Ovis aries: one gene and its partners. The protein of the gene in region 2 interacts with the protein of the main gene of each other region in a biochemical or structural test. Links are inferred from orthologs where the notes say so. Each region holds a gene or a part of one and is shown on either strand. Other genes may lie near its edges. The genes, in order: KLHL12, SEC31A and SEC13.

Region 1 (3,750 bases), on a different chromosome or scaffold from region 2:
CCTTGAATTCTCTAAGAAACAAAGCCAGGGAGCACGTGTGAAAGCCTGGGGACACTGCATATATTCAGTTAGCTTTACAAACAGAGGCGGCGCCATCAGACTCAAACATCCACAGGTAGAGCACACGCCTCTTCCTGGCATTACCAACACAACCCAGCCACTAATTCCCCTGAGTAAATCGGATCCCTCCTCCCTCTGAACTCCCCTTGCCATGGAGTGCCCAAACCACCCGACATAACTGCCGCCAACACCCTGCTGCAAGGAGAAAGAGACTATTCCTCTCTCACCTATCTTCACAAGGCCGCTCTCTCTCACGGTGAAAGTCAGAAGATACAATTTCTTAAAGGTGTGATGTCACTATTTTTAATACCCTAAAGGAAATTAAGTAGCTGAATATTTATAGAGGGTGGGGACCCAGTTTTATATATATGTATCTTTTTTTTTCTCTCCCAGCAAGTGTATAATAAACGTTCAGTAACAGAATGCAAGAAAGGAACTGCACCTTCAACCTAGAGCAAAAGGGCCAGTATCAGTGAAAATAAACTTTTTCTAAAGAAGCACCCAATTAATTATTTATGATGACTTCCAACTATATTTGGATTTGTTCTTAAAATGAAACCTCAAATGAGGACCCAATGCATGCCTGCATGCTAAGTCACTTCAGTCATGTCCGACACTTTGTGACCTTATGGACTGTAGCCCGCCATGATCCTCTGTCCACGGGGATTCTCCAGGCAAGAATACTGGAGTGGGATGCCATTATCCTTCTCCAGGGGATGCAGTACCTACACTGAATAATGGAGACCATGCAAGCTTAAGCTACTGAAGTTCTATAGAAAGTCCACCTACTCTAACTATTAGTATACATTCATCAATATTAACAAATTAGTATTTGTAGTAATTCTTCTATACTATGAGAGAATTACTGGGATAGAAAACGTATCAAAACACTACTACTAATTTTATGGCCACAGCCAGTTACTTGTAAAGTTCACTGTATGCATAAATTAAATGAACTCAGTAACAGGCTACACGTCAAAAAATTAATAGAAGTAATTTCTTGATTTTTGACAAGCTTCAGTTAAGTTATTATTTTATTTTTGTTTATTTGCTTCAAGGACAATTTCTGGGGAACGAAATTGGAAGGTGACTAAGAGTCTGTCTTATGTGGAATCCAAAATTTTCTGTAAGGATCCAAGAAAATCAAATCAAACTATGCTTTTCGAAAATCCACAACTCACAACCATAGTTTTATACGAAAAGGGAAAACGAGCCCCTAAATCCTCATCTACTCCTGTTTATGGGTAGCGCACTATTCTTTACGGTCTCCAGCCACTCCACAGGACCCGTTCTACAGGAAAGGAGGTGGCTCATCCAGGCGTAAGACGATATCCAGAAAGGCCTTCCTGCAGTCAACTTCGTTTCAACTCTGGAGACTGAGAAAGGCCCGCACGGACGCCGCTATACGGGGAGGACCCTGGGGCGGCGGGTCGGAGCCGGCTCTGCGCGTCAGACAGACACGGCCCCAGCGTGCGGCTGCCCGCTCCCGGGGTCCCCGGCCGCGCTCCGCCCCAGGGCACCTGGTCCGGGGCCCCCCGCGAGCTCCCCGCTGGAGGGGCCGCCTCCCGGCGGGCGACAACAGCAGCGGCGCCCCCCTCCCCGACAGCCTCCTGACGGAGGTCGCGGCGCTCGACGCCTGGACGCCCCCGCCCGCCCTGAGGGGACGGCGGCGGGGGAGGGCACCGGCTGCCGCCCCCGGGCCACTCACCTGCGCTCCGGCCCGCCGGGCGGGCGCGGGGCGAGCGGGCGGCCCGGGAGGTGCCCAAGCGCCGCCGCCCGGACCCGGAGGCTCCGGCGCCGCGCCCGCGGCCGCGCGCCGTGATGACGTCGCGCCTGCCCGCGTCACGTGCGAGGCCGCTGTCACGTGACTGCGGGCGCCGCGGGCGGGCCTGGGCGGAGCGGGTGGACGCGGCGCGAAGGGGGCGCGGGCCCCGGCACGGGTGCGGCCCGCGGCCGAGACTCCCTGCGACCACCGACCCTGGGGCCTCAAGACGCGGAGACCCGAGAGGAGTGCGCAGGTGTCCAAGGTAGGGAGCTGGCCGCAGGGCGCGTTTCACCTGACAGGCGTTCAGGCGCCCTCTCACGTCGAGGAAACCCACCGAGGCGCCCCGTTTCCTCCCGTCCATAGTCCGCAGTGGCCTTTTCGGGCCGACCATCGCTGTGATGAGAATCCCGGAGCCCCGCGACCACGGACCTCGGCGTTCTCTGCGTCACAGTCGCGTCTGTGGCCACCGCCGCGCGGTTCTCTGCTGCTTGCCCTCCGAGACAGTTACGTGGAAGGGGCGTGCGGCCCTGGAGGCGGGACTCCGCCAGGGAGACTGCGAAGGACCTTAGACGTCCCGGGGGTCCTCCGGCCCCCTGTCCGCTTCTGCTGCCTTTCACAGCTCCTGGGTGCTGAGCGTTCTGCTAGAAATTTTGCTTCTGATTGGTTTTGGCGCACTTATCTCAGCGCCTGGGAAGGGAATGAGGTTTCTTGATACTGTTCCTTTGCAGGTTCAAACCAGCTGTACTTGAGTGTACCGTTTTCCACTGTGGTGCCTTTGATTCTTCAGGGATAATAAAACTATGGCCAAGCGGGTGGCAGTATCGTAGTCTAATTTTGTGTAGTGTTTCCATCTCTCATGTAGTATCTCTGATCTAAAATGCTCTTGATTTCCGAATTTCTGAGTGCAGGACTGATCCAGGTTTTACTGGGGGCATTTTGTAAAAGTTCGCCAGAATGATGAATGCAGATATCCTTTAACAGCGATTTTTTGGGTATATGTATCCTTTGTATATTCTCACACACATGAAAAAGGATGTGTGTACAAGGTTGTAGATTGGATTGGGGACTGTTTCAGTAACGTGTGGTGCCGCCGTACAATTCAATTCCACGAAGTTGTGAACAGTGAGTATTCTTTGCCATTAGTTGTGTAGAAGGGAAAGATACAGTCATATTTGCCAGTATATGTATAAAAATTGCAGTTGGAAAGATACAAAGTAGAGTAGCAACAGAAATTTCTTTGGAGAGAGGAACTGGTTGTTTGGGAGACAGGGTGGGAGAGATTTTCTCCTCTACGTATTTTTGTCCCTTTTGAATTTTACATCATGTGGACTTAATGTATGTATAATTTAAATAAAAACAACCCCTTGTCTTCTGGCTGCAGAATAGCATCTAGTTGCTTTAATGATATTGCCTAATTCCTGGCTGCAAGCAAGGACACTGCCAGCAAGAAAGCCAACACACCGAGGGGCCTAGTCAGGCTGCTTCTGTTTTCTTCAAGGGTACAGCCCTAACATGTTTTGAGTCAAGTCACGGGGACACCGTCCTAAACTTTGGATATCTGACTCGGTACCCTGCAGCCCAAACTGATTCTGAGTTCTTAGGTCCGTTGCTGGAGGGCTGTGTCTGGATGAGGTGAGTGGATCAGTCAGGTTCCACACACTGCCCTGCCTTGGTGTTTGGACGCCTGGGAAGACTCTGGGTGTTGACAGCTACTGAAGGGTTTCAGTAAGGGAAGCATGGATGTGTTGTGGAGCTCTACATCAAGTACATCGAATGTGGGGCAAATCTCGAAACCAGTTAGGCAGAGGGTACTGCATTGTTGTGCCATCAGAGCGTGGCAGACAGGAGAATGTGCCTCATAATTATGGAGTGTAATCACAGCAGGGCCCCAGCTGCTGCTTTGAAATTCATCGTGAATTTGCTCC
Region 2 (3,650 bases):
ATCTGCTCACCCCAGCTTCCCATTCCATCCCTCGCTCAGCCCCCTGCCCCTTGGTACCACCAGTCTCTTCTGTATGTCCATGATTCTGTTTCTGTTTTGTAAATAAGTTCATCTGTGTCATATTTTAGAGTCTGCGTGTAAGTGATACCATGTGGCATTTGTCTTTCTCTTTCTGACTTACTTCACTCAGTATGATAATCTCTAGTTACACTCATGTTGCTGCAGATGGCTAACTCCTGTATTTAAAGCTGAGGAAATGTTGTTACATCATTTTTTTTCTTACTCCTGGTGCCTTTTGTCCATCTTTTAAAAGATGCCTGAGAACTTTACGCCTCCTGTTCCCATCACATCGCCAATCATGAACCCCTTGGGTGACCCCCAGTCACAGATGCTGCCGCAGCAGCCTTCAGCACCAGTACCGCTGCCCAGCCAAGCTCCGTTCCCACAGCCACACCTCGCCAGTGGCCAGCCCTTCCGTGGCATCCAGCAGCCCCTCAGTCAGCCAGGCATGCCTCCGTCGTTTTCAAAGCCCAATATCGAAGGTGCCCCTGGGGCTCCCATTGGAAATGCCATGCAGGTAACAGTGAATCTGTGGAAGTGGGAGATGGCTCTATTTTAGTGTGTTTCTTCAACGTGTTAACTTTTGTGGTTATACCTTTATTGTTATCTCAGTTTGATTTTCATTTAGACAACTTAAGTAAAAAAGAACTTTTTTTTTAAGATCACACGTGTACAGTATTTTCCAGTGATGTGGCCATATGCAAACATTCTAGATAGGGCTTATGTGTTTACTAGTATATGTTAACAGTAGCTTGGCAATTGAAGTATTTCGTTTCATCTAATCAGTAGCCACAATTTAAGATCAGTGGAATCCATATTGGCATCCAAGGCTGCTCAGCAGAAGCTGTTTCCAAAGGGTTTTTTCCTTTAAAATGTTTAAAGATAAAAATATAATGACTTCGATCTTTTCTTGTGTGTGTGTAAGAGCTAATAATATAGCCATATCTTTGGATAGAGATATCAGTTCATACTTGCTTTTCACATACAAGCAGCTAGTTGGCAGGGCTCTCAGTAATGAAAAAATCTTATCAGGTTTCCATGTAACTGACTTAGGCATAAAAGGTAATCTTGATCTATTCATGAAAAATAAAGAGGTTGGGTCCACAGTTCAACATAAGAAGATGAAATAAATTCCTGCCCAAGTATATAAAACTAGTTCTTCTGTCATTGTCTTTGACTCATTGAAGTCAAATTTATAAAGATTGTATCTATCACAAGAGTATGTTTTGCTGTTAAGAGAGTTCCTAGATATTAACAGTAGCATTATAAACTCCAGTGTTCTGATGGAGGTGGGAGGACCTGCTTCTTTTCACAAGAAGATACACTTGTATGCATTGTTAGTTTCCATGATTACAAGTCTGTGCCATTTGTAAAGCCATTCACTTGGGACCTGGGAGTTCGTGCTACACTCGTCTGGACCAGAACTTCAGTTACCAGGGAGAGGGAGAGCACCATGGATGTGTGTGGTTCAGCCAGGCAATGATACCCAGCTCCCTGTCCACTTGGATGTTTCTGAGGCACCTCACGCTTAGTATATCCAAAGTCCAATTCATAGTCTTCCTCCCAAACCTAGTTGTCTTTTGGTGTGTCTCGTTTCAGTTAATGCTACCATAATCCTTTTCATTTAATCCAGCCAGAAACCTGGGCATCTTTATACTCTTTTTCTTTTAACCTGTTTTCAGATCTATCCCCACATCTTGCTGATACTACTGTAAAGTCTCTCTCCCATCCCTTCTCCATGTTTCCAGTCTAGTCCATGCTGCCTTTGTCTCCAGTCTTCAGCAGTACAGGAGCCTCTCACTGGTCTGCCAGCATCTGCTATGACCCATCTCTTCTCTGGTCTTAGCTCATCGTTGCTTAACATGTTACCACATCCCACTGTTCTCAGGATAAGGACCAACATTTTTCATATTATCTGGAAGCTCTCAGCTCCTACTCCTCTTTGCTGTCTCTCTGCTCCAGCCAAGCTGACCTCCTTTCAGTCCCTATATCATGATCTTTCCTATGTACTGTTCTTCTGTCTGGAATGCACTTTTTCCCCTGTTTAACTCCTACTTAACCTTCTGATAAAACTTCCTTAAAGAGCCTTCCCCTCAGTTAAATCCCAGTTATATTGTCTGTTGGTTCCAGTGATGTGAACTTAACCACAGTTGCTGTTTTACATACATTTATGACATTTTTAAACTTTCCCTCCTGCTAGCCTGTAAACTCCCTGAGAGATAAGATTATTTCTGTATTGATTCATCAGTGCCTAATACATAATTGTCTAATATTTTCTACGAATGAATATAATCGATCAAAATTTTAAGCACTTACACATTCCTTCTTTGTTTATCCCTCTTATGCATTCAGTTAGGTCATGGTCTCTTCTATCCTAACCTTTGATTTAATCTCAGTTTGATAAAAGACCAGTTAACCAACCTTCAAGACTGTTTGAATAAACGAGAAGGAGCCAACAAGCAAAGAATGCAAGACTGTTGGAATAAACAAGGAGCCAACAAGCAAAGCAAGCAGTCACCCCCACCAGCCAGCTTTATAAACACCTGATTCTTTGTTTCTTACTGGCAAGGTCCTCTTGCTGATCAGTTATATACAGTCGTGATCAACATATGTTTCATGATTAAGCAAATACTTTATACCCAACCCTGCTTTTGAAAATAGAAGCTGTAGGAAGACTACCTGTATTTTCTATTGAATATCTGATTTTTCTGTTTGCTTATGCCAGGTGATTCCACGCGTTCATTTTTTGTTTGATTTTGAATGGCCTATCTATAAATTAGTTGTTTTCTCTTTATGACAGATTCAGGACTTTATATACAGGTAGTTTCTGGTCATTTCTGCTCATTTTAATGGTATTATTTCTTCCAGCATGTGCAGTCTTTGCCAACAGAAAAAATTACCAAGAAGCCTATTCCAGATGAACACCTCATTCTAAAGACCACATTCGAGGATCTTATTCAGCGCTGCCTCTCTTCAGCCACAGATCCTGTATGTGTTTTTTATTTTGCTTAATTAAAAGATTCCATTATGGAGCTCTTTTATATTTATTGCTTAAAGTCTTACAAGATGTATTTTGAAAGTTTTTGCAAAAGTGGTAAAGCTAGCATTTATGTATGGTTTGCTTTACATGTAAAAGCATACTCAGTTGTTTTTATATAATCCTTAAACCAGCCTCGTGGAGGTAGGTTTGTCATATTTATTTACAGATGAGGAAGTTAAGGCACAAAATAGTTACAGTATAATCCAGGCAGAGCCAGCATTCAGACCTAGTCTGGCTCCAGAATTCATGTTCTCAACCCCTGAGCTGCACTGACTCATCGACAGACATCATGTCCGGCGCAAGAACAGGGCAGAATGCTAAACTACAAGAAACTCAGACTTGGGGTTTCTTTCAGAGTGTATGTCTAAAGGTTTTAGAAGTAGGGACTTCCCTGGCAGTCTGGTGGTTCAGACTTTGCCTTCCAATTCGAGGGATGCAGGTTCAATCCCTGGTCAGGGAGCTAAGATCGCACATGCCTCATGGCCAAATAAACCAGAACGTGAAACAGAAGCAGTATTATAACAAGTTCAATAAAGACTTTTAATATGGT
Region 3 (3,650 bases), on a different chromosome or scaffold from region 2:
GCTGGACCATTGTCCCAGCTAAGGGAGGTGGCTCTTGAGTGTCCGCAGCCCCGGATGAATGGGTGAGCAGGGAGCAGCTCACAGGTGTCAAACTCGGGTTTTTCCTTTTCTTGTACCCAGCACTGTTTCAGACTCTTAAATGAGTTGTCACAGACATCTCCCTCATGACCACCACGTGAAAGAAGTCACGCTGACGTCTCTCTCAAGAGACAAAGCGAAAGAGAGGGTAACGGCCCTGCCCTGAAGTCAGGCAGCCAGTGAGTGGGGATGGGTGTGAAAGAGCCCGACCCATCCGCTGTGTGCTGGGTGCCCCCTCTTCTGAGCCGCGGACCCAGTACAGAGCCTGGCACGGCACATCCTCAGACAGTAGTGACCAGGTGAACGCACAGAGGTGGGAAGGGAAGAGAGAGCCCTGCCTTTTGAAAAAGTGCAGAGTAGTGGAAGGCACTGAGATGAAACATTCACTGCCTGCTCAAGAGCACAGCCTCCTCAAAGGCTCTGCTGGCTCAGGAGAGAGGGCTGGCTTGCTTTCAGCCTCAGGGTCCTCACTGTCCGCTGAAAGTCCCTTTTTGAGTGGCATTATTCAGCTCTATCCCTTTTGAAATTCTTCGGCAGTTCTCTCCTGAGAAGCCATTCACTTCTGTCCAAAGTAGTGGCCGGCAGAGTGCCCTGCCTTCCTTTTGCCCATCTGAACAGCCTCTGGCCCTCTCGCCTTGCAGCCATGAGGGTCCCGTGTGGCAGGTGGCCTGGGCCCACCCCATGTATGGCAATATACTCGCGTCCTGCTCCTACGACCGGAAAGTCATCATCTGGAAAGAGGAGAATGGCACCTGGGAGAAGACCCACGAGCACACAGGACACGACTCCTCAGGTACAGCGCGGGGAGCGGGCGGGGACAGGGCGCGCGGTGGGAGGGTCCATCTACAGCGGAGGCAAGGTCCTAAAACCTGAAGCCAATACAAAGCAAAACGAGAAGAGCAAAGACGAGACGGTTGGTTGGTTGGTTTTTTCCTGTAAGGTTTATTCATTTCAAGTACTGGTCTTTGTTCTGAGAGTATAAGATAGGCTTTAGCTGATGATGATGATATTAGTAGGTGATGGGTTTTTTAAATCTCAATTGACAAAATTACAACTTTCCCCAAGGTGATCCCTACGATTTTTCTTTTCTTTTTTCTTTTTTTTTTTTAGAAATTTAGTTAACAGTAAGTCTCGGACGTGAAAGTCTCTCACTGTGCCTCCTTTCTTCCTGCAGTAAACTCCGTATGCTGGGCTCCCCACGACTACGGCCTCATCCTGGCCTGCGGCAGCTCGGACGGGGCCATCTCGCTGCTGACCTACACCGGGCTGGGCCAGTGGGAAGTAAAGAAGATCAACAATGCTCACACTGTAAGTCCACACCCTGCCTGCGGGTTGCGGCCTCGCCACGTGTCTGCCCTTCCCTCCTTAGAGAAGGGCAGGAGCGGCGTCACTGCTGTGCAGTGTGCCACAGGAGGGCTGCTGAGCAGACACCTGCTGGGCAGGTCTGAGGCTCTTTGTGCCGAAGCCAGACAGAGGCTACATCCAGGGAGGCCAGGCTGCACCTGCCTTATTCAGCCCAGGGCGGCGCTGGCAACTGGTTCCTCCAAGTCAGGGAGGGCCAGGGCACTGGCAGGGTGGCAGCAGTAGCCTGCCTATCTGCCACCCTTGCTGTGCACAGCGCAAGTTGACATGGCCTGCAGTGACCACTGGGGCCCCTGGAACTGATTGGTGTTACAAAAAGCATCATAGGAAGTTCTCTGCTTCCTGTGTAAGGGTGAAACAGTCAAGGAAGCAGTGTGAACAGTGCTGGGAGGGCTCAAATTTCTTGGGCCTCTACTGTATGTCACGTAATCCTCACAGATGTTTGTGAATCAAAAAACTAACATGTACAGATGCGTGAGGTCACCAGTCCTGTTCTCATTTTGTGAATAGATATGTGAGGCCCAGATAACTGACTTAGAGGAGGTGCTGTGCTGGGGTAAGAACACTGGAATCTGTGTACCCCTTGTCTACACAGTCGTCCAGCCTTGTTGGCCCCAGAGCTTCTGAAAGCTATCCAGATGGAAGTCAGCAGCCCCAAGTCTAACCCCGTACTTTCGCAGTTCTCAGATCCTGGGAATCCACAGCCTGCCCAGCCTTCAAGGCCCCAAGAGCCTTTCTGTGGCTCTTGTTACTTGGGACCCTGTGACCTACATCTGCTGACTAACGTAAAATTGAATAGGCCTAGAGGCTTCTGGAAAGATGGCAGGGAATGACGTCATAGTGCTTAAGTCTCTTCCACATCTCTGCATAGAAACCAACAGAGCAACTTAGGTAGCAAAAACAAAACTTTCTAAGCAGTAGTTGACAACAGAACCGGGTAAAAAGGTATTTCCATAAACTTGAAAATACAAGCGAAGAGGGATGGACCAAATACAGCACCAAGACTGCGTGGTGTGGGCATGCGAGCAAGACGAGGAAGTAAGTGGCGAGCAGTGCCTTCCAGTGGCACCTGCGGAGGACCCGCAGAGAGCAGGAGGTGTTCACGGAGAAGCGCAGACAGCCGCTGTTTGAGAACAGGGATTCTGGACTTCTGTTTGTAACATGTTAAACTCATAAAATTCACCCTTTTAAAAATACAGAGTTCTGTAGTTTTTGCTATACTCACAAAGTTGTACAACTCTCACCACTAACACCCAGTGGTATTATTGGGGTGATAATACTCATCACCCCAGTAAGAAACCCCATTAGCAGTCACTCTCCACCCTACCCTACCCCCAGCCCTAAGCAACCCTAGTCTACCTTCTACCTCTATGAATCTGCCCACTGGACATTGCTGGTGGACATTACATATTGTCTCTGGACACTGCCTGTAAGTGGAACTATGCAGTACAGCCCACAGAAGACTGACTTCTCTCACTTGGCTTGTTTTCAGGGTTTATCCATGTTTCATCCAGATCATAGCATATATCACTGCTTTGTTCCTTTTTTATGGCTGAATAATATTCCATTGCATGAAAAATATATATATATACACACACACACACATTTTATTTTGCATTTATTTCATTTTTATTGATCAGCGGTCATTATGAATAACACTCTTACAAACATTTGTGTATAAGTTTGTGGTTTTAATTTTTGGGGGTAACTGCCTGGGTGTGGAACTGCCAAGTAAGGGAAGCTCTGTTTAATTTTTTGAAGTAACTGCTAAACTGTTATCCAAATTAACTGCCCCGTTTTACATCCCTGCTAGCAGTGTATGAGGGCTTCGGTTTCTCCACATCCTTGCCAACATTCCTTTTCTTTTTGATGATAGCCGTCCCAGTGGGTGTAAAGTAGTACCTCCTTGCAGTTTCGATTTGAATTTCTCCAATGACTAATGATGTTGGGCATCTTTTCACATGCTTCCTGGCCTTTTGTGTGTCTTCTTTGGAGAACTGATAGGGGGATGGGCTTGCACTGTCTCATACTAGGTGAGTGCAGGGGACCCACCGTAAGAAAGACTGGAAAGGGGGCTGGGGAAGTCTCACCATATGACCCGCTGGCCTTGCTTCCACGGCAGTGCTCCTCGTGAGCAGAGGGACGCAGAGCCAGAGAGAGACACAGAATGGAGGATGCAGACCAGAGTGGGCGAGAGGAACACAGCCTTG

Evidence for each region.
Region 1: of the proteins of SEC31A (region 2) and KLHL12, one has a biochemical effect on the other in vitro, tested with the Homo sapiens proteins (3 studies listed by BioGRID, with this or other methods). The link is inferred for Ovis aries from reciprocal best matches to the Homo sapiens genes SEC31A and KLHL12.
Region 3: the proteins of SEC31A (region 2) and SEC13 form a complex in vitro, tested with the Homo sapiens proteins (2 studies listed by BioGRID and IntAct, with this or other methods). The link is inferred for Ovis aries from reciprocal best matches to the Homo sapiens genes SEC31A and SEC13.

The regions. Positions count from the first base shown.
Region 1 is NC_056065.1:79,286,456-79,290,205, reverse strand, and holds the start of KLHL12 (kelch-like protein 12), read right to left. Parts: upstream 2,287-3,750; 5' UTR 2,160-2,286; intron 1,884-2,159; exon of another isoform or gene 1,769-1,883; intron 372-1,768; exon of another isoform or gene 288-371; intron 12-287; 5' UTR 1-11. UniProt on the Homo sapiens protein: Substrate-specific adapter of a BCR (BTB-CUL3-RBX1) E3 ubiquitin ligase complex that acts as a negative regulator of Wnt signaling pathway and ER-Golgi transport.
Region 2 is NC_056059.1:98,364,431-98,368,080, reverse strand, and holds part of SEC31A (protein transport protein Sec31A), read left to right. Parts: intron 1-313; coding exon 314-577; intron 578-2,928; coding exon 2,929-3,048; intron 3,049-3,650. UniProt on the Homo sapiens protein: Component of the coat protein complex II (COPII) which promotes the formation of transport vesicles from the endoplasmic reticulum (ER).
Region 3 is NC_056072.1:54,315,563-54,319,212, reverse strand, and holds part of SEC13 (protein SEC13 homolog), read left to right. Parts: intron 1-719; coding exon 720-871; intron 872-1,252; coding exon 1,253-1,386; intron 1,387-3,650. UniProt on the Homo sapiens protein: Functions as a component of the nuclear pore complex (NPC) and the COPII coat. At the endoplasmic reticulum, SEC13 is involved in the biogenesis of COPII-coated vesicles.